Linked DNA regions of Rattus norvegicus. The protein of the gene in region 3 interacts with the protein of the main gene of each other region in a biochemical or structural test. Links are inferred from orthologs where the notes say so. Each region holds a gene or a part of one and is shown on either strand. Other genes may lie near its edges.

The links.
Region 1: the proteins of Cdc5l (region 3) and Ctnnbl1 form a complex in vitro, tested with the Homo sapiens proteins (3 studies listed by BioGRID and IntAct, with this or other methods). The link is inferred for Rattus norvegicus from reciprocal best matches to the Homo sapiens genes CDC5L and CTNNBL1.
Region 2: the proteins of Cdc5l (region 3) and Prpf19 form a complex in vitro, tested with the Homo sapiens proteins (2 studies listed by BioGRID, with this or other methods). The link is inferred for Rattus norvegicus from reciprocal best matches to the Homo sapiens genes CDC5L and PRPF19.
Region 4: the proteins of Cdc5l (region 3) and Plrg1 form a complex in vitro, tested with the Homo sapiens proteins (3 studies listed by BioGRID, with this or other methods). The link is inferred for Rattus norvegicus from reciprocal best matches to the Homo sapiens genes CDC5L and PLRG1.

The regions. Positions count from the first base shown.
Region 1 is NC_086021.1:166,890,344-166,895,725, forward strand, and holds part of Ctnnbl1 (beta-catenin-like protein 1), read left to right. Parts: intron 1-1,641; coding exon 1,642-1,714; intron 1,715-1,937; coding exon 1,938-1,996; intron 1,997-2,978; exon of another isoform or gene 2,979-3,017; coding exon of another isoform or gene 3,018-3,134; intron 3,135-3,361; coding exon 3,362-3,510; intron 3,511-5,382. UniProt on the Homo sapiens protein: Component of the PRP19-CDC5L complex that forms an integral part of the spliceosome and is required for activating pre-mRNA splicing.
Region 2 is NC_086019.1:216,968,712-216,974,093, reverse strand, and holds part of Prpf19 (pre-mRNA-processing factor 19), read right to left. Parts: intron 5,355-5,382; coding exon 5,205-5,354; intron 5,046-5,204; coding exon 4,969-5,045; intron 3,858-4,968; coding exon of another isoform or gene 3,801-3,857; coding exon 3,659-3,800; intron 3,564-3,658; coding exon 3,490-3,563; intron 3,398-3,489; coding exon 3,335-3,397; intron 2,613-3,334; coding exon 2,571-2,612; intron 2,474-2,570; coding exon 2,399-2,473; intron 2,127-2,398; coding exon 2,051-2,126; intron 1,887-2,050; coding exon 1,777-1,886; intron 1-1,776. UniProt on the Homo sapiens protein: Ubiquitin-protein ligase which is a core component of several complexes mainly involved pre-mRNA splicing and DNA repair. Required for pre-mRNA splicing as component of the spliceosome.
Region 3 is NC_086027.1:23,064,117-23,069,498, reverse strand, and holds part of Cdc5l (cell division cycle 5-like protein), read right to left. Parts: intron 4,588-5,382; coding exon 4,484-4,587; intron 2,747-4,483; coding exon 2,585-2,746; intron 2,023-2,584; coding exon 1,895-2,022; intron 677-1,894; coding exon 577-676; intron 1-576.
Region 4 is NC_086020.1:170,703,939-170,709,961, reverse strand, and holds the start of Plrg1 (pleiotropic regulator 1), read right to left. Parts: upstream 3,775-6,023; 5' UTR 3,682-3,774; coding exon 3,673-3,681; intron 2,684-3,672; coding exon 2,577-2,683; intron 1,135-2,576; coding exon 992-1,134; intron 413-991; coding exon 359-412; intron 1-358. UniProt on the Homo sapiens protein: Involved in pre-mRNA splicing as component of the spliceosome. Component of the PRP19-CDC5L complex that forms an integral part of the spliceosome and is required for activating pre-mRNA splicing.

The DNA.
Region 1 (5,382 bases), on a different chromosome or scaffold from region 3:
TCCTCAGTTCAGTTTGGAAACAGCAGGCTTTGTGGCACATAGGTAGCATAGCAAGTTTCACAGTGGTCGACAGGGTTCAGCTTTAATTTACCTCTCTTTGTTGTGTCCTCAATTCTCTATCTTACATGTAGCAGATAGCCAATAATTAGTTCCTGAAAGCAAGAGGAAGAGTCCCTTTTAACTTGAGGCAGAAGTCTATGAAATTCAGTAAAGGACAAGAGGCGTGGAAACCCAGGAGACCATTGTCACAGTAGCCAGTGTCACTGGCCTTCCTTCATTTAAGGGTCTTGTTTCAAAATGTGTGGCTTTTGAAAAGCTGCATGTAGTTTTATGTGGCTAAAATCATTTGAAATCTAATCACAGCACTGGGGGCTGAAGTAACTTGGGTAAGCACTTTAATGGTTTGAAGAAGCCTCCATCCTGACAGATACCCACCGCCTGGCTTTCCACCCCCACGTTTTGAGTTTATAAAACCACCTTTCTTCAGGCAAAATATACCACAGGCTATACTTAGGCTCTGGCCGTTATACAGATTTCTTGAAATAAGGCCTCCAGCTTGTCAGGGAGCGCGCAGTGCAGCCAGGACGTGCACAGTCTTGCACTTACGGATCTTTTAACCTGAGACGGGTCAGATGCGGCCACCCTCCTAAAACCCTGTGAGGTGCACGTTGGCTTGATGAAGAAGACGTGCACAGAAAACTGAACCGGCGCTGGCTGTTGCTTGATTAGACGCTACCGCGCTTCCTCCTTAAGTACAAAATCAATGTCCAAACCGCTCTGTGAATGGCACAGAGTGATGGAGGCGCCAGCTTCCGTGTGAACACTTGCCGGTCCTCTGCAGCTACAGAAATTATTTGTCATTTCGAAACCTAGATACGAAGCAGGAGTCGTGCTGATTAAAGTCATTGTCTGTGTGCCTGTATCTCAAGGAGCTGGCGCTCATAGATAAAAGCATCAGCGAGGTTTGCACGGGTGCCATTCATGGTGCTGTGTTGAAGTCTTGCAGCTGAAGTAACAGGACAGCCATGAAAGATGGCCTCTGCAGTGGACATGTCCCCTCCGAGTCTTCAAGCTGCAGAGCACACAGCAGGGGAAGAATTGTGGGTAGTGATTTAGGTATTAAAATATTAACACATTTTTGCATATTTAATGTGGTTTCCTTTTTAAATAGTAGGCAGATTATGGCTTACAAGCAGATAGGTTTATGGGTTCAAATTAAATTTTAAACATTAAAAAAATTCCAAAAGGAACTACTTCGTTATAAATATTTTTAGCTAATCTGAACAAGAGCTTGCTTTCTTTTCAACTTCTCTGATCATGTATCAGCTAATTTACAGCCTCATTTTCTGGTTGTAACTTGTAAATTGGAGTTTCATATGTTTTAATCTTATAAGCTCAAAACTTTCTCTTACTTGCATGGGAGACATACAGTCTCTAGACTTAAAATATGGGCACAAAATAGGCTCTATGGAGGAGGGTACGTTCACATACTACTCCTTCCCTTTGCCATAGTATGGAGTAGCTGTATCTGGTCCCCCTAACCTGTCTTTCCTTCAGCCTCCTCAGCTCTAGTGGGTGAGCAGTTTGCCCTGGAAAGGGAGCAAGACTCCTTAATGGCCCTCTCATTTCTGTTTCCCACAGGCCAAGATGCCCTTTGATGCCAACAAGCTCTACTGCAGCGAAGTGCTGGCCATCCTCCTCCAGGACAATGATGGTGAGCTCCCTCCTAGAGACAGGCCAGGCTGGCAGCCACACTCACCCTCGGAGCCCATGAACTTGCCTTTGGCATTGCCTGGTTTCTCTGCTTGCTCTCTGTGCAGCTTTTGTACTCTGTCAAGCTGTATTGATTTTGTTAGCTGAGGGATCAGTGGTAGATGGCTGTAAAATCTGACAGTTGGCTTCATTTTTTTTTTCTCCCTTTATTTTCTTCCTTTTAGAAAACAGGGAATTGCTGGGAGAGCTGGATGGAATCGATGTGCTTCTTCAGCAGTTATCCGTGAGTAGTCCTTCTGCTTCCTGTGGGCCATGAAGGTCCATGGCCTGTTTTAAGTGGGAGGTGGAGGTAGAAATACCGGAAGGAGCAGCCACATTGTGACCAAGGCAGGTTGGAGGTCACTCTGGAGAAACAGGGTTTGCCTTCTTTTCTTACTCACTGGCCCTTTCTGAGGAAGTGCCACGGTGGCCTTTCCCAGCTGCTGACCCAAAAGCAGGGTGCCCTCCTCTATGTCCCCCAGCCAAGAAGAGCCAGTTGGGTTCCTTTGCCTTGCCCCCACATGGTTCGGCTCCTTCCCCCTTGGTCCATCCCTAAGAGTCTGTCTGCTCATTTAGGTCCAGGTGAGACCAAGGCGAGCCGTTTCCAGTGCTGAGCACAGTGGGCTTGTGATCATGGGGACAGTAGGGATGGCTGTGGCACTGCAGGCAGGAGTGAGACATTGGAAACTGCCATTTGCTGGATAAAAGAAATGTAAATCCAGTTGAAATGTTATCCTTCTGGCATTCTGGAAATGCAGTCAAGACTTCTAACAAACCTTATCTGTGTTACTCCAAAACAGCACTGAAAACAGATCACTTGGACACAGGCTGACGAGTGTTGAGTGTCTGAGATGGCAGTTTGCATACAGCTTTCCTGCCGTGCCAGCCGCTGAGTGACTTGGCCTCCACCCTAAAAATAGAGCTTTGTGGAGGGAAGCTGTTTGCGGTCCCCATAAGGTGCCGAGCTTTATCCTGTGCAGTCACTGATTGCAGACTGTGTGGGGCTGCCTGCCCAGCTAGCTCAGGCTTTCCCTGCCCGGCTCAGCTCTGACATGCAGAACTGCCCAGATGCATTCCTGGGACTTTGAGCCCCTGCTCCTGAGTGAGGGGATCCAGCAGCTCTCCTGGGAAGAAGCACCTCTTCACACTGAGAGAGGATTGGCTCCTCTGGGTTGTGGGTGCATCAGAAAGGGGGTGGGGTGGGGTTGGACTGAGCAGGAACTTTCTGCCAGGGTTGGGTTGGGAGCTGAGCTGTGGTTTCAGACATGTCCCTCTCAGCTTCACTGTGTATGCCCAGTATGGCCTTTTCTGTTTCTGTCATTTCACCATGGACAAGGGCTGAGCTGTGTGGTTTTGTTTGGCTGACCTGCTGCCTTAAAGCTGTGAGTTGTTCTCAGGTCCAGTGCTTGGCTCAGTGTTCAGTGTTTTTATGTGAACTTGTATATCTTTATTTAGTGCCCACAAGACAGAACTGAGTTGCTCTAAACTGGAAACTGGCGAGAGCTTCATTTGTAAATTTCTGCTTCCTTGGTGGGCTTTGGAAACTGTAGGTAGGGTGTTGGCTGATGGGACAGCATGTTTGATGGCTCCTTTCTACTCTCCTTGGCAGGTATTTAAAAGACACAACCCCAGCACCGCTGAGGAGCAGGAGATGATGGAGAACCTGTTTGACGCCCTCTGTTCCTGCTTGATGCTCAGCTCCAATCGGGAGCGCTTCCTGAAGGGTGAGGGCCTTCAGCTCATGAACCTCATGCTCAGGTGGGTCCCAGTCCTACCCACTGCCTGTCTGCCTGCCCCGCTCTAGCCTGGCTCTAGGCTGCCACTTGAGTTCCCCATTCATCCAGACAGTTCACTTGGGGAAGTGTTCTAGATGTCTCCGAGCTTTTCTGAAGGGTGTGCATTGTTTGTGTGCTGGGTGTCAGCTGGTGATGAGGCCTCTGCCCTGAGGGTCATGTCTTTGTTTCTTTCATTGTGTTGGTTTTGGAGAAAGCTAAGCATTACCTTCTAAACTTAGGTTGGTTCGTCTCTAAATCTGTGTGCTCCATAGACCTCCATGTCTATATTCCTGCTGTTGACAGCAAAATATTCCTATTTTCTCATTCAGTAATGAATTCTGTGTGGAATATGAAAATAGGAAGGATGGGTCTAGGATTTTGGGTTTAATACTTCCTTTAATGTCTCTTTTTTGTTCTGTTCTACTCTAAAGACAATACTGTTCTAGCTTCTCAGTTATTCCAAAGAATCTTAAAGTTGGAAACAAAGTGAAGAAATGGCTTGTTTTGATGTTTTATTGAGGAATGTGGCTGGGAAGGAAAAGAGAGATCCTGAGGAGGTGACCACAGTGCAGTACCCCCAAGGGACAGCATTTGAAATTGAGAGGCTCTGGGTGCTGCTTGCCAATACATTTGGAATTTTCTAATCATTATGGAATTCATGGAGCTGAGCTGGGGTCGGCCAGCGTGAAACCTCTAGTTTGGTGGCAATGACAACTCTGAACAAAGATATGCTTTTGAAAGTGTCTTACAAATTTGACATATATTTATTAAGTGTAATTTAGACTGTAGATGTTCACTCTGTCTTCTATTAGAATGTTTTTAGTTACTGTGTGTGTTACATGTCAGGCTGACAAAGGAGTAACCAAGGCCCGAGTTCTCCCCGAAGCTAAAGTGCTCCAGTCTGTCACCCAAGCCTAGCCTGCCTTTGGGTGGATACTGGCTTCTTGGTTTTACTGCTGTTTATTATTATATTATCATTTATTATTAAATTGGTGGGCATTTTTTTTGTTTGATTGATTTAACATTTAGTCCTGCCACATTCTAACATTTCATGTTGTTTCCTTTTTAGTTTAATGTGGTATTTGTCATTCTGTGACATAAACTTCATGAGGGGGCAGTAACTACTTGAGGGACACAGGAAACGTTGTGGCCATTTCCAGGGTTTCACTATCATGACAAACTCCACAATGAGTTTTGTGTTTTAAATGCCTTGGTGATTATCAATGTGGATAACTCTAAAGTTCCTTTTCTTTAAAAGGTTTGTGGAAAGCTGAAATATGCCTGTCATACAGTGTATCCTAGACCTTGGATTGATCGAAAATCTTCCTTTGAGAAATTGCTTTTAAAAGCAAATTGTTTTTTAAAGTGCTGAGAGAGTTCTGGGAAATTACTCTGAGGCCTTTGCTGTTGAGGCAACTCTGGTTTTCCTTTCTTGAGAGCGTTCGTCTTTCACCCTTCTAATTGCCTGTCCTTTATTGAAATAGCCACTATCTCCCAAGCAGACAGCGTGTAAAGCATTTGGCTTTCTGGGTTTTCTGACCTTAGAGCTCCTCTCTCGAGGGACTTCCCCCAGCTTTGTACAGGCCTGAACTGCCAGTGTCAGTGGATGGCTGAGTGTGGACATGAAGGGATGACTTCCTACAGCATATGGCTCCGTAATGTGTAGCAGTGGGGAGCTGAATAAATAACCAGAAATATGGATTATTCAGACTGGAATGCTGAGGTTTCTGGGAGGCTAATTAAAGAGCTCCAAAGGACTTGGGCCAGAGCCCCTCTCACAGCCACCTCTGCTTTCCTGCTGAAGTTGCCTGGTTCCGCCTTCTGTATTAATTAGCGGCCTTCACAGACTCTGAGT
Region 2 (5,382 bases), on a different chromosome or scaffold from region 3:
TGTAACCTTCTATCTAAACAACAAAGTCTGGGGCTGGAGAGATGACTCAGCGATTAAGAGCGCTGACTGCCCTTCCAGAGGTCCTGAGTTCAATTCCCAGCAACCATGTGGTGGCTCACAACCATTTGTAATGGGATCTGGTGCCCTCTTCTGGTGTGTCTGAAGACCAAAGTGTCATATACATAAAATAAATCTTAAAAAAACAAAAAGCAAAACAGAGCCTAAGAAAGCCAAGGAAAAAAGTGCTGCTGAAGTGCCAGGCCAGGCGAGAGCTTCACTACTTAGTAGGACAAGCAGCAACTGCATCAGAGAGCACTTGGGGCCCATTTTCAGGCTGGGTAAAATATGGCTCGTATAACTGAGACTGAAGTCGTGTGCTGCCTGCAGCTAAAGATGGCTGTAATAGACGATGGGAGCAGCACTGAGCCTAAAGGAAAGCCATGGGCCCTGTTCCTTCCACTTAGACCTCAAGAGCAAGTTGATTATCCAAAAGACTTGGGGCAGAAAGAACTTATTTAGTTTCCTTAACAAATTATTCCAACTAGTTAGGATAGCAACAGCTAAAAGATAAAAGCAACTATTCTTTCATTAACACATAAAAGCCAATAGTGGCACTAATATCAAATAAATAAGAAAATAGCGCTGCAAATTATACCTAATTTTTTCAGTTTGTCACAGTTGTGGTGGTTTGAATTAAAAACGGCCCCCATAGGCTCATGCTTAGTCCCCCAAAGTGGCACTATTTGAAAGGATTAGAAGGATGCTGCTATCAGAGGAAGTACGGGTGTGGGGTGTGGGGTGTGGTGGGGTCAAAGGCCCACACCAACCCCAGTGCTTTGCATGCATGCTGCACACATATCTGTCTGTCTCCTTTCGGATCAGGATACAGCTCTCAGCTACTGCTCCAGTACCATGCTTGCCACCTGCTCCCTGCCATGATCATGGACTGACCCTCTAAAACTGTAAGCAAGCACCAGTTAAATGCTTTCTTTTATAGGAGTTGCCACGATCATGGTGCCTCTTTACAGCAAGAGAACACTGACAAACATAAATTCCTCTATTTCTCAGTTTCCTTTTTTTTAAATATTATATATGAGTACACTATAGCTGTCTTCAGACACACCAGAAGAGGGCATCAGGGCTGGAGAGGTGGCTCAGAGGTTAAGAGCACTGTCTGCTCTTCCAGAGGTCCTGAGTTCAATTCCCAGCAACCACATGGTGGCTCACAACCATCTATAATCAGGTCTGGTGCCCTCTTCTGGCCTGCAGGAATACATTCAGGCAGAAAGCTGTATGATGTATATATAATAAATAAATAAATCCTTTAAAAAAAAAAAAAAAAAAAAGAGGGCATCAGATTTCATTACAGATGGTTGTGAGCCACCATATGGTTCCTGGGAATTGAACTCAGGACCTCTGGAAGAGCAGTCAGTGCTCTTAACTGCTGAGCCGTCGCTCCAGCCCTACATCTAAGTTTCCTAACGTATGAAGAGAAAGACTACCTGGGAGGCTGCTCAAGTACCTGAGGCAGCAGCATACCAAAGCCACTGTATTCTATGAAACCATTAATCTCATCTAATAAGCTACTTTTATCCTCTAAATCAAGGGTTCTCATCTATTAGAACTCACACGACTTTCAACAGTCTTGGGGGTCAGCATGGGAACATCAATGCCTGTTTCACCAAAACACTAGAGGTTGGGCAATTAGTTCTGAGCCTCAAAACCACTGGATCTGGACTTAGAAATAAGACAAGGGTGACTTCGAGAGTGTCTTACCTGAGAAGGATGAAACACCACACTGGTGACCTTCTTGGTATGGCCTTTGAGAGTGGCCAGGATTTGCTCAGTACTCTTATCAAAGACAACAACGTTTTTATCTGCCCCACCTGAAGAAGATACAAAGAAGACAAAAATGAGGCAGGCCTTAAAGTATCCCTGGGCCACAGAAGGTCTTTCTGTCCTTAAATCCATGCAAAGGACCAAGGGGGGTTATATCTTCCCTGGGTCCTGCCATCCCTCATCTTGGCTGTCAGGCCAGACCTAGACTCACCAGTAAGAATCTTGTTGGTGTCTGAGGGACACAGGTCCAGAGCAAGAATCCCAGGAATGCTAGCACTGTGTAGCCCCTTTGCAGACAGAGCCACATGAAACCCAGTCACAGCCAAATCCAAGCCATACAGGTCCTCCACTCCCCTTCCCCACACCCCTCATTTTCCTCCCCAGTCAGGAAAGAAGAGTGAGTTCTATTCCTTATCCACCCAGCTTGGCTGGCTGCCTGGATGTACCAATTCCCCCCACTGCATGGCAGGACAGAAGAGCAGCCAAGGTGAGACACTCTGCCAGGGACCCAGGTAGCATTTCTCATGACTCCGCAGGCTGGCCACCTTCAGCCACTTACCACATGGGATGCCACCTGCCGGTACTTGCTGAGCTCTTCAGGCTTCACCAGCTCCTCAGGGACAGTTTTTCCTCTCTGAGAAAACAAAAAGCCCCCAAGAGCAGCAATGAAAGCAGGCTTCAACGAGCCCTTTCTCCAAGAAGGTGGGTGTTCCCAGCAGGCAACAACTCACCTTCTTACGCTCCGTGGTTAGTACAGTGGCCTTGTCTTGAAGCTGTGGAGAACATAAATAATTTTGTGACACAAAGCACACTGGGTGCTAGTCACATCTGATACATCACCAAAACACGCCATCTGCCAAACTGTGGGCTAAAAGCTGACACACCTCCACCCCCATCTTATAAGGTGAGGTATCCACAACCTTATGGTATAGCTGAGAAAACTGAACATCAAAAGAACTCCCTTGCCACAGCAGGTGGGACAGGAACCAGGTTGTAGTGCTCTGGGAGCAGGTCTAGGCTACAAACATGAGAGCTCAGATGAGCGCTCACTCCGTTGACCCACAAATGAAGACTACATCCAACAGAACCTAGCTGTAGTCTGAAGTCTGCTCTGCCTCTTCACAGCTGTCTGACTTGCCACCTCAGACTCCTCATCTTAATACAAAGATAACTCTTGCCCTAAGGCAAAATGATCAAAATCTATAACGAAATGACTTAATATCAACAAGGACTGCAAAAACTGCAAGAGCTAAAAACTTCCCTCATAGGTAATTAAATCTTTCCCACAGTAAGCCTACGAAACACACACCCCTCATTCTATTCAGAAGCCAGGGAAATGAGACAAAGGAAGCCAGACTGAAGTAAGTGTCATCAGAAAGCTCTTGATTGGCAGTACAGGCTCCTCTCATTGCCCACTGTGAGAGTCTTACAGGCCCCCAATGCCTACAGTACTAAGGGAGAGACTGCAGTCCCATCAGAAGAACACACAACTTACCTTCTGGATAATCTCAGGGGTCATTCCCACAAGCTCACCCAAATCCATGGGCTCTCCTGCACCCTGTAGAAAAGAAAGGGAGAGTAGGAGGGGCTCACAATACCAAAACTGTCTGTGTAAGGGACAGCTACTGGGGCCTGGAAGGGAACACTTACCACAACACTGGGCTGTGAGCTTGGCACAGCCTGAGGTACAATAAGACCAGCCTGTGGTTTCAGAGTAGCCAGAGCTGAGAGAAAAGATGAGGTTAGAAATGGGACATAACAAAGCAGGGCCAGCAGCAGGGCCAGAAGAGGGTGGGGAGCAGCAGGGAACACCAGAGACCTTCTCGAGCAGCAGTGACCTCCTTGGTGAGCCGGGCAATGACTCGGCAGGCAGCATCGTGCTGGTACAGAGCGTGGGACAGTTCCTGGCGGGTTGTCTGCAGCTGCTGGCGAAGAGTGAAGCTGTGCAGCATGACTGCATCCTGGGAGAGGGTAGGCCACTGTGAGGACTGGGGGAGAGCCGGAGAATTCGGCCAACCCTAGAGAAGAGGACACCACCTCCTATTCTACACTGAAACCAACCTGAGCTACTCAGAGACCCAAGCCAACATCTGAGTGACCCTGAATGCCCTGTACGACATTCAGGCTCCTACCCCATACCACACCCTGGACACACACAGAGTAAGAATTAGCTCCTTCCCACCCCAACCTTTGCAATTCACCAGCAAATCACAGGCATTAATGTCATCACCTCTCTGAAAGGAAATAATTATACTGCTGTGATTATTTACTGGCTATCCTCAGCAAATGCAGAGCCCAGTAATGAAAGAGTCCCTGGTGTCACAAGGCAAATATGTCAACTGCATTCTACTTACAGAATCCAGATAGACAAGACTAATGAGTGTCCTGTAGTCAGGAAGTCAAGTCTTAGAGACTGAGCAGTGTGTCCTAAGTCACAAAGGCTGACAGTGGAGAAAACTTTGGAATCTAGGTCTGCAAGAGTTCCAACAACCGGGCTCCTCTTGTATTGCTATCCTGTTCCTCACAAATGAAATAAGGCCAGCACAAAATGAGGGGGGCTGCTCAGTGGTACAGGGATTACATTAACCCTGTGTTCATCACCCCCAAGAGTCAGGCCTGGTGGTTGGCACTTATAATCCTAGCACTAGAAGGCTGAGGCAAAAGGATCAAAGTTTCAGACTAGTCTAACAAAGCAAAGTCCTATCTCAAGACAGTAAGAGGGCCTGCAGAGAGTTGAGAGCCCGGAAATTAAGAGCACTTGCTGTTCTTCCAGAGGACTCAGGTCCAAGTCCCAAACCCCACAGGGTGGTTCACAACTGTTCATAACTACAGTTCAAGGGATCACACACCAACTCCTGCCTCCCAAGCACCAGGCACGTAAGTCATACACAGTCATACATGTAAGCAAAAGGCCATACACAACATAAAACTACATTAAAAGAGGGAGGGAGGGAGGCCTCATCTGTTCAATCCTCAGGTCCTAGCCCGGAGGTGCATTCTTTTTTTTTTTTTTTGGTTCTTTTTTTCGGAGCTGGGGACCGAACCCAGGGCCTTGCGCTTCCTAGGTAAGCGCTCTACCACTGAGCTAAATCCCCAGCCCCCGGAGGTGCATTCTTTTCACAGACTCACCCACTCATCCTGCAAGGCTTTCAGAATGGCTGGGATGCTGGTGGCAGAGGGAGGCTTGGGCCGGATTGGATGAGCAACTGCCAAGAGAGGCAGCAAAGCAGGTATGAAGAACTAGAACCCGGGAACTCTTCCCCTCCCCCACTCACAGCCACCATCTTCTCCACCAGATTGGCACCACCTCCCACTCTTGAAGGCTGAGCTGAGATGGCCTTGGACCAAGGCTATTGGGCAGGCACCTTTGATGTCGATGAGCTGCTCCTCTGAGAGAGGCTGGTTGTTGATAGGATCTGTGCCATTCTCTGCAATGTACTTCTCAATGAGTCGCCGCTCATACACATGATTAGAGACAGGGGACACGCATGGGTGCTCTGGCACTTCGTTGGAGACTATAGAGAAAGACAGGTAGTGAGCCAC
Region 3 (5,382 bases):
TATCTTTACCAACTTTATCTTAGCTTCTGGGCATCAGAATGATATAAATTCAACCAAAAGGAAGCAAGGAGAAGGTGGGGGAAGGCCTAAGCAAAGAACAATGCCTAATACAGTTCGCTCGCTTTTTAAGTGACGATTTCTCCGACAGCCTAGACTTTGGCTCAAGGCTCATTAACTTTAAGTCCCTCTAGGATCAGCTGGGAGTCCTGCCCAACACTGACCAAGAGGATGAGGAGCTGGAAACTGACAATCATGTGAAAGCCACCTGAAGCCACAATGCTACAAGAGATCAAACACAGCATGCTGGGTCAAGTATTTGCCCGTAATTTCTGCCATGCTTTGTAAACTTTTTAAGTGTATTTTTCCTATAACTATTCTGAAATGGTTAGGGAGAAAATACAGAAGTTGTTTTTGTTTGTTCCAGATGTTCCAGAACAATAAAGGCACTAAGGAGTAACAGCAAAATGGGAATTGATCAGTTCAGACTAGTTACCAACTAGAGCAGATAACCATACAGTTGCCTGAACCTAAGGACGCATAACCAATTACTGTACATAGAATGAAAAGAAAACATGCCTTGCTTCTTCCAACTGCTTTTCTCTTGCTTTCCTCTTAGCCTTCTTTCCTTGAGTATTGGCCAAACGGGCTCGAGCCTCAGAAAGCATCTCAAGTTCATCTGCGAAAATAAAGACAAGAAAAATAAGTTCCTCTCCAACAACAGCAGTCAGGCATATCCCAGTGCTTACAATGACAAAAGCATAAATATACTCACTACTGGTACAGGGCACAGAAAACTTGTCAAGTCAGAGAAAGGTTACAAATCATCCCATCATTAACTTGCTCGTTATGTAGGCCTCGTGCCATATTTACCTCTGTGAAAATGTTTCCCATTAAAATCAGAATAAGAATGTCTACTTCAGAGATGCTAAGAGCTAAGAAAAATGAAGTATATCAAGCAAGGATCAAGTATTTGCTCACAGAAAGCTCTACTACAATAGCATCCGTAACACCAACAAAATGACACTTCACCAGCAGAGAAATAATGCAGCAACTAATCATGGGGAACTGATAACCTTCAGACATTTTTCCCCTCAGAATTGTTTTTTCTCCAAGACATTTTCTACAGCTCTCCCCAACAAAACAACAAAAGCAGTCTCATAATGATGGACAAGACTTAAGACTCCACTCAGATCATAGTCCTCTCTCTTCCCTCAGTAAGAATTACCAACTCAGTTTCCTCAGGGGAGGACCTGGTGCCTACAGCTTTAAAAGTTCCCCAAGTGGAAAGGATGTAACAGCCTCATAGTCACATACTCGTCACTCTTGGGAGCCACTGCATTCAGGTTTTAAATCTTTTCATCTTTAAACTACCACGTACCCAAAAAAAGGTAAAGGAGGTATTATTCTCAAGTTCAAAGAGCCTACATGACTTAGCTAAGGTCAAACAGCTAGTAAATAGCAGAGATGGACCCAAAGGCCAATCCCGGACTCTTGACTCGATGTGTTACAGAATCACTGTCAGTCTCCAGCATAGCTCTTGAAGACCAGTCCTTTCCTAGAGAGTAAATCACCCTAAAGTCAAAAAAACAGCAAAGTCCAATATGCTAGCTTGTTGTCTCTCCTTCTAGAAAAGGAACGAGAGACAGGATCCTGCGAGCCTCATCACCCACTTCTGGCACATCTGACTACTACACTGATCAATTCATTAAATGAAATGAAGAAAGAGAAAATAAAGGGTATCATCAAAAAACCAGACACATTTGGGGAGATACCTAGAATAACCACTGACAGAACTGGGATTCTAAACATCAGGAGTTCAGGAGAAACTAAGAAGAGTGTGAGGAAGGCCTGAGTCACATGTTGTGAGCAGAAATTCTTCCCAGCATCCACTCACCCTCATCCATGTCAATTGGATCAGGCCGGGCTGGTTTGGTTTCTGGATTTGGATCTATCTCTCCAGGCTTAAGTTTTCGGGGGTCATCTGTTGTTTCCTCTTCATTGTCCCTTTGGGCAGTTTTGTCCCTTGGAGGGAAAAAAACAAACCCCAGATGAGTCAGTCACAGCATCACCCCATTTAGTATGAGAATTACCAAGGTTCTGGCTCTGGCACTCCTTTCTTTCCCAAAATAACCAACAGATGAGTGTTATGGAAAACAGCATCTTTACAACTGCTTCATGAGAATAAAAGGGACATTACAATTCTCTAATTTCAGTATTTCCACTCATGAGGAAACAAGCAGCCATTCCTCACAAATACAGAACATCCAGACAAATACACTCCTGGAACAGAACGACAAAGTCCTAATAAGCTCTCAGCAGCGCTGCGTTGGTGATGGGGCCTCATGCACCCACTCACACTCACACTCACACTTTCCTGAGTGTGACTAGCACATTTTGTAAACTACCCTTCTACAGGAGAGGCGGAAAACATCATTTTGCTCAACCATTCGACATCTGGAATACAGAATTCAGTGACTTTGGTTTCTCTGGCTTTAGTCACAGGCACAACTAAGCTGGAAATGCTCTAAGCTTGTTCAGCAGGTTAACATAACACAGCCTTCAGGACACTCTGAGGCCCACTCACAGGAGGAATTCATAGTGCTCCAAGCACTGGGCTGCTGTCCTTCCTATGATTGGAGCAATGGTCCTCCACTGCGTTGGCATCAGCTTGGCCAAGTGCAAGAGCTTTTCTTCCTCTTCTCTGGACCATTCAGTTTTCTTAATACTTGGGTCCAGCCATTCGTACCTGTTAAAGACAACATATCAAACATTAGTACTCCATGTACCGACTCTAAGACCACATGCTCTCATCCTTCAATCACTAACACTATGCTGACAAGAGAACTCACTGTGAAGCTGAACTAACTCATCTGCCCCTCTTCACATTACAATGTATGTTCAGTATATAAGACTAGTGAGACTAGTGAGACTTGGGCTGGAGAGATGGCTCAGTGGTTAAGAGCACCCGACTACTCTTCCAGAGGTCCTGAGTTCAATTCCCAGCAACCACATGGTGGCTCACAACCATCTGTAAAGAGATCTGATGCCCTCTTCTGGTGTATCTGAAAACAGCTACAGTGTACTCATATATAATAAATGAATAAATCTTTAAAAAAAAAAAAAAAAAAAGACTAGTGAGACTTAAAACTCTAACAAACTAAAGTCCAAGATGCAATCATGGAACTTCTTTTTTTTTTAACTAGTACTTATTTTTATTTGTTTAACCGTCTTTTGTTTTATGTCTATTTGGTTTGTTTTTTGTGGTAATTGTGTTGTTTTGTTTTGGGTTTTCTGGTTTTTTGAGATAGGGTTTCTCTGTGTACCATTGTCTGTCCTAGAACTCCATCTGTAGACCAGGCTGGCCTAGCATTCAGACATCTGCCTGCCTCTGCATTCCATGATGGGATTACAGATGTGCATCACCATACCCAGCACTTGTTCTTAGATTTTCTGAACTGCTAAAAGTACCTGGAAAAAATAGCACCTTGTATTATTTATATTACAATTTCACTGTACATCCTTATGTTTGAGTCCCACAGCATCTTCACTTACTTCTCTAAACGTCCACTTAAACCCACTGTTTAATGTTCCAGAGCTGTGTGCTTCCATGTGCTGTACTTTTAAGTTTAAAGTAGAAGACACTGTCCGTCTTCTAACGTCTCAGTCTGCCTTGTCCATGAGGTGGTTAGCTGGGTGAGAACCTGTCCACATGTCTAAGTCCTCACTGCCACTGGTGCTCCAGCTAGGCTGAAGCTTAAGGCTTACAGTCACTAAGAGAAAGTGAATCAAACTACTGCAGCCTGAGAGCCCCCTTCCTTCTGCTCTGCATCTGACCCTTCCCACCATCAGAATCTGGGTCACTTCACACAATCCAAATCCTGCTCCTCATAGCATATGGGCTGCAGCCGAGATGGTTCATCCAAGTCCAGGACACTGCTCATGACCACCACTCTGTGACTTAACAAGGTAACACATAAGTAGAATGTTGCATTTTAGTATAGCAAATATGCAATATTGCTGCCCTATTAAAAGGAAGCTAACCACTGTGACCTGGCCTTTAAAAAAAAAAAAAAAGCACTGTTTAGCATTTATTTCTTTGGGAAAGTAAGTCCTAAAATAACCAATTTATAAACTTTTAGACCACAACTTATTCAATGAACTGAGGCCCAGCTACCTAAGATTTTGTATTGTGTCTCACAAGGCACTCTCAAATAAATACATTAACTCACTTGGACAAGGATTCACAACTGATCAATTAGTGCTAAGTTGTGAGAAAACAGGCAGGGTAAAGAGGAGGAAAAATGGTTTGCTCAAGACACAGGAAGCAAGTGGTAAGTACATCTAAAGGCCCCTCTTTCCATACTTCCCTCCATATCACAGTTCATGCTTTAGGGGAATAGAGGGGGTCAAAGAGCCAGCTCCCTCATCACAGTGGGGATCCGGATCACACTGCTTTCCCCTGGACTGACTGGTACATACATACCATCTGGCTTTGCACTGCTTTGCCGATTTCCTATGCAGCAATGAGGCAATCCTAGACCACTGGTTTTTCCCATATTTCATTACCGCTGCTTTAAGAATTTCATCCTAGAGAGTTACCAAAGAGAATGCATTCAGTCACAAGCCTCTAAATGAGAAAAGACAAAACTTAAGTTAGTCCCCGCAGAGGTCCTGTAGAGAGAGGCACACGATCGTTAAAAAAATAAAAAAGGCATGGAAACTTTATTATTCAGTGGTTAAGAACATGTACTGCTCTTTGCAGAAAATGTGAGTTCAATTCCCAGCACCCTTATCAGGCATCCTGCCTATAACTCCAGCTACAAGGGGATTCAAAGTCTCTAGCCACTGAAGGCACCTGTACTCATGCACAGACACATAATTTTTAAAGTAAAATATATCTTTAAAAAAAAAGAGAGAAAGGACATCTTACCTGCCCCTCAACAAACTGGAGGTGGGAAAAGTCAATGCTGAAAACACTACTTTATGACAGACAAAATTATTCACCCATATGTACCTGCCATTCTCTTCAAAGATAGAGTTCATATTTATATTTACTCAAAACAAAAATAACAACTGCAACAAAAACAAAAACAAAAAAAGCAAAGCTTCCTGAATATCTACCTTGAACCAGGTCTCATTATATACTCCAGGAAAGAGAATCAAAGAAGCAACTTGAGACTCTGGTTCAACACATTTCCTCTCCATCATCCTACTAACCACAACAGCTCAGGATCCACATTTCCCTCTACCTCATCAGTCAGCACCATCTACTCCAATCTCCAAAAACTACTTCACCGGGGTACCCATAGCATAACCCAATCCCCAGACAACCTGCCAAGCAAACTCACAAACATGAAAGTCGTAGATCTTTCTTGAGCACTT
Region 4 (6,023 bases), on a different chromosome or scaffold from region 3:
ATTTGACGGAACACATATAGCTTTGTATCAAAAGCAACCCAAGACAATAAAGATATTTTCCTATTGATTCAGACAGTACGTTCATAGCAAACAGTAGTCACTCAAACATTAACAGAATACTTCCAAGAGTAAATTAAGTTACTATAAGAAGTACTCAATGCCTGTGTGTTATACAAATAAAAGGCTTTTTGCCCTCTATCTAATTATACTTGCTTCCTTCGTGCTAACCTGTCTACGCATGCACACACACATGCACACACACACATGCACACACACATACATCCTCTTCCATTTAGGTACCTGCACAACTGTCTAAGGCACACTGTCTACACATCTGTGCAACCTTACTGTCACCTACCAGGTCCTGGTGGATATGGATGTGTACCTGTCACCAAATATTCAACATCTTGTCCTAAAAATAAATAAATAAATAAAATCATTGCCAATGAATTTACCTTTATTAACGTACTGCCTTTTAAAAGGTATTATAAATATTAACTCAAGTTTTCCGTTCCACCTCTACAGAAGCCTCAGAAAGGCAGGGAGTTGATGGTTCTGCCTGTAAACTGTTAACAGGCAGATCATGTGCTTCCACCGAGCCATGCTGGGAACAGGACCCCCCCCCCCCAACTGACAACCTACTCTAGCTTTCTTCACAGTAAATAGTTGCACATGGAATATTAGATTCTCTTTGTTCATTATAATTTCATCTTTCCAAAATAAAGACCTCACAGATGGTCTCCCCACAGGTTAGGAATCAACTTCAGTTTTTCCCTGTAGACTCCACTGTAATCTTGTCTACCTCCTAAGAACCATAATCATACATTCTGCTTTCTAGTAAAAGTCATCACCTAAGCATCTTAATTACTACTCCGATGAGTTCATCAAAACTTCCACCATAGCAACAACAAATAAGCAGTCCCCCCACAGTGAGGCACTAAGGAAACGTTTTCTATTTTAAAACTCCACTTGTAAACCTCATGGTTTTCACCTTGATTGGCAGGATACTGCTTATGAGGATATGAATCTGGTGCGTTTTGAGGTCCCTTCTCCTTAAGATTCTCTTTTGAAGTAGGCATATGCAGCACAGGGCCATACTCATTACGAAGCTTGATTGCCATTTTCCGCTTGTGACTATTTAAAAATCATAAACATGAAATGCATCCTTAAATATTAGAAACACATCACCAATGAAAATATTCAGTTAGCAGAACACAAGTACAGAAAGAGATACTGTATTCCAACTCACAGATCCAGGATGTTTTTCAAGTTAACTAGTATTTTAACAAATATGAAATTTCAAAATGTATTTCTATACCATATGTATTTACTTTACCTCACAATCTACCATACAGTAGTCATTTAATCCAAAGCAGGACCATAGTTTGCAGCTGAATAAACACAAAACCTTTTTCAATGAGGTCTCAAGGGTCCAAGTAAATTAAAGACATACATAAACTAATATATCTTTTAAAAAAAACCTTTAAATGTCTGAATATAGTAAAATTTGTATAGACACCTTTATTAGTAATCTAAAAAGTCAGACCCAATGAAAGCACTAAATTAGCTCTGCATTTTAAAGATAAATGTACTTATATTACTTAAAAAGATAATCCACCTTAAAAATTAAATATAAATGCAAATGAGGGGAATTAAGTAGATTATAAAGAAAAAGCAAAGGACAGAGAAAGGCACTGCATACAACACAATCCCAGACTAGGATTGGTGAGAACCAAGAGTATGCCACTTAGAAGTCTTCACTGTACCAAGGAGCACAGATGGGAGAAGAGATACTGGCCAAGAACAATTTCAGCACAACGAGAGTCTGAGAGCAGGAAGCTAAAAGCATGCACAAAGTGATGCACTAGAAATACGATAACGTGACAGGAATGCCCCTAATTACTGGGTACTAGCTACTTTTCTATTGCTGTGGCAAACACCATAATTGAGGTAATTTAGAGAAGAAAGTATTAATTTGGGGGTCATGGTTTAAGAGGCTAGAGTCCTTGACCATCAGAGTAGGGAGCATGAGAGCAGACAGGCAAGCATGGTATTGGAGCAGCAGCTGAGCGCTTACGTCTGATTCACAAGCATGATGTGGGGGTTGTTGGGGGAGGGAGGGAGGTAAGGGAGGAAAGAGGGGGGGAGAAAAGGAGCAATAGATAGGGGAGCTAACTGGGAATGGTGTAGGTTTCTGAAATCTTACAGCTTATCCCCAATGACACACCTCCTCTAACCCTTCCAAAACAGTTCCACCAACAGAGACCAAGCATTTAAATACATGAAACTATGGAGGCCATTCTCTTTCAAATCATCACACTGGGTATCTGTAAACTATAATTAGATTTTTAAAATAGACAAGAGTTATTGTCTGTCTGGCCAGAGCTCAAGAGACAACACACAAAAATAAGCAAAATGAGTTAATGCTATTTGTATTATGATGAAAAGACACTCGCTACTGCCCAAGTATCCTGTGTCTGCATTTTTAAGACCTTTCAAAGTCACCTCCTCTCTGTCACTTTGCGCTCTTCTATCAATATAAAATACTTTAGCAACTGAAAAGGAATAGAACTTACCTCTCTTCATCCAAAGGCACAGGTTTTCCATTATCAGCCACAAACATGTCATGGGTCCTCTTCAATGACCTGAACACTAGTGTGTGCACAGAATGCTTCTGTACCTCCTGTAAAGAGACAATCAAGATCACACATCTAGCTAGAAGAGACCCATACGCTCTAATCAACATTAGATTCATTACGCACTTTACATGCTAAATACATAAAGGCTAACACTCCTCAGTAACTGTGACAAACTACAGCAGCCAACAACAAAGATGAGAAAGCTCCTGTCTGGTCAGAGTTCAAGAGACAACACACAAAAATAAGCAAAATAATTCCACATTTTGGAGGGTTCGATGGGGTGACTCAGAGGGGAAAAAAGAATTGCTAGATATAATCAAGAAAGGTTCTCTCTGGTGACAGGTAAGCAGAGAGGGAGACAGCCTTACAAAGAATAGAGGTTCAAACAGTGCAAGCTCTGGGAGATGCCACTGCGAAGACGTTCATATAATTCAGAACTGCAGCAGTTGTGAATGCTGCGGGAGTGTGGGTTCCGAAGGTCGGTGGGGTTTAGGCCTCTGCCATCACCAACATTTAACACTGGGACAGAAAGCAGCACTGAACTACATTCCTTCAATGTGTTCGTTAATCGTAAGCACTTGGAAGCTATAGAATTCGTCCAGGCAAAAGATGTTGGGCTAGATTAGGAGGACTGCAGTGGATCTGGAACGCAGTGGGTGGGAATAAGAAACGTTTGGGATACGCAAGAACAAACAAAATCAAGCACGGCAAGCTTTAATGGGGTAGAGATGAAATAACTGTGAAACTGACAAGACAGCACGGACTAGCATCCCAGCCAAGGTGGGAGCATCAGAAGCCCCGCCTCCCAGGAAAGGGCCAGATGCCAACAACACACCGACTGCAAGATTCCTTCAGGCTTCCCGCCGACTGAACCTCGGATTCGGGATGTCATCGGCCTTCCTCCCACCCCGACAGCCCAAGACCACCAGTTTTGGCTACAGTTCGCTTCCCCAGATTCCCAGTACTTTCATCCTACTTCCGTGGGCAAAGCTCCAAAGACAAACGACTCCCGAGTGCCCGAGCGTTACTTTACCTCCACCATGTCGCCGCCGTTTAGTCTACCCGTTCAGCAGCGAAGAAACTCCAAATGCTCGACGCAGAAATCGCCGCCACTATTCTGCCGCTCCTTCCGGAGATTGGGGCCTGTCGCCGGACGTGACGCCAACCGCGCATGCGTATTGGCAACCCGCCGCGCAGGGGTCGAGGGGTGGAGTCTAGCGGTGGAGGGCGGAAGCTAGGCGGAGTTGCGCGGAGACTCGTGGCGAAGAGTAGGATCTAGGCAGCTGCTGGGCGGGACTGGGCGGGGTTTGGGGCGGGGAGGGGCGGGTCTCGGCGGAACTGGGCGGAGTCCCCTGGCTGAGGGCGGAGCTTCCAGCCGGAGCGAAGGGAGCGCGGGCCTTAAAGCCCTGTTTAGGGGAGGTACTTGTTTCCGGAAGCTAAGTGCTGCTTAGAGATTCTAAGCAAGCCGTTTTTCAGAAACCATTGGGAACTTAAGTTGTTTTTACTTTATTTGACCTGATGCTAAACTGTTGACGTTTTGTGTTTCACCCAGATAAAATCTGTGGCTTACGTTCGATCGTTTCCAAGTGTTTTCTATATTGATGTAGTTGCTATTTGTGATCTTAAATAAGGCATTTTCACTGATTGTGCATCTTCCTGAACTGTGATTAAGTTCAATGATCCCGTCCTCAGAGAGTACTGCGAATACTTTGAGAAGGGTGAAAATGTAGCGCAGGTATAGCAATGTGAGCCAGTGCTCTCATTCAAATTCAAATATTTTAATTCATAATTATTCACTCAAATTCAAATATTTTAATTCATGAAAACATGAAGGTCGCATTTTTAGCCTGAAAACAGTCATTTCCGTCCTTTTAGTTTGAGCCTTAACTCCTGAGCCGTCTTTGTAGCTAGCCCACAAGTAGGCATTTCTAAATTTAAATGTGAGTTTAGTCAAAGGATCTTATTTTCTGTAAAAGTGGTCAACGTTTGTATACTTTGCAAGAAAATATTAATAACCTAGAAAAGAACATTTTAAATCACAAAACACTAAGGAAATGTTAGAAAGACCTTAACATATCTATGTTAATATGACTACTAGACAGCTCTCATTAAACTTGTTAGATAGTCATCCTGAACACAACTTATGGACAAGGCTCACAACAGCCATCTTAGAGGTAACCACACTAGGTTTTGCTTTTCTTATAACTCTCGAATTATGTCACCCATGTGAAAATTACCTTCTTGGCTTAATAAGGACCTTAAGTGACCCTATTATCTAGTTATGAGATCCATAAATCACATATATCGTAGGCAGATTTCTTGTTCACATAGGAACCTGTGTTCTTCTTGTTTGCTATGGCCTCCCTCCTCCTATTTCCTTGTTTTTGAAGAGATCCAGGATCTTTGGCTGGTTAAGAATTCTAGCCCAGAGGTGTTGGCACATGCCTTTAATCCCAGTACTGGCAGAGGTAGTCTGATTTCTGCGTTCCAGGACAGCTGGGACCAGAACTACGCAGAGGAAAAAACAAAAGAACAAACAAAAAGAGTAAGATGGACATATCTTTAAAAATAAAACCCTGTGCTGGCTGGCTAAGATATAGACTGTAGATGTCGCCATTGCGAGCCGCCTTATATAGACAGTAGATGTCACTATGGCTCTTCATTTGTGCGCAGAGGATTTTTTTTCTTTAAGCAAGCATGACTAAATTTTGATAGATATAGATATGAATGCTACATTCGTTTGTGTGAAAATGATCGTGCAGATTTTAAGGAAAGCCTTTCTTCATTGACCAAGCTGCTTTTTCATTCAGCAATGCAAATGTGTTCAATTTCCTTCAATTGTCGTACCCTTGGCTGTTGAGCAATGATGGGTGAGGTAGTGTGGGGCCCTGCACGACTGGGACAACCAGAGGGCCTGGCAGATTTAACTGAAGAGTCAAAAGCCTAAGCAGAGACCTGTTACCGCTACTGACCTGCAATAGCTGAGCCTTCTCTCTGCAAGGGTGCTGTGAATGGGCCATCCAGCCAATGGACCCGAATCTCTGCTTAATTCCTTTACAGATTTTAACTTGCTTAAGAGGCTCTGATAGGGCCAGCGTGGGGGTAAGGCTAGCATAGCCACTGTTGGTCACCTGAAGTGTGCATCATACTGACAGGACCACCATAGCCCCACTCCTGAACTCCAAAGATGGTCACTAAACCTCTGTGGTGTTCTTGCTCTTGCTCCTGTGATCTGTATCTGGTCAAATAAGAGAATGCCCTCTTGTCCCTGCTCCCCAGGCTCCTTCCTTATCAGCTACACATAAAGATCAACAGAGGGAACAACAGAGGAAGCTGTCAGCAGAGATAGTGGCCTCCTACTCTTTATCCCTGCCACAGGCCCTT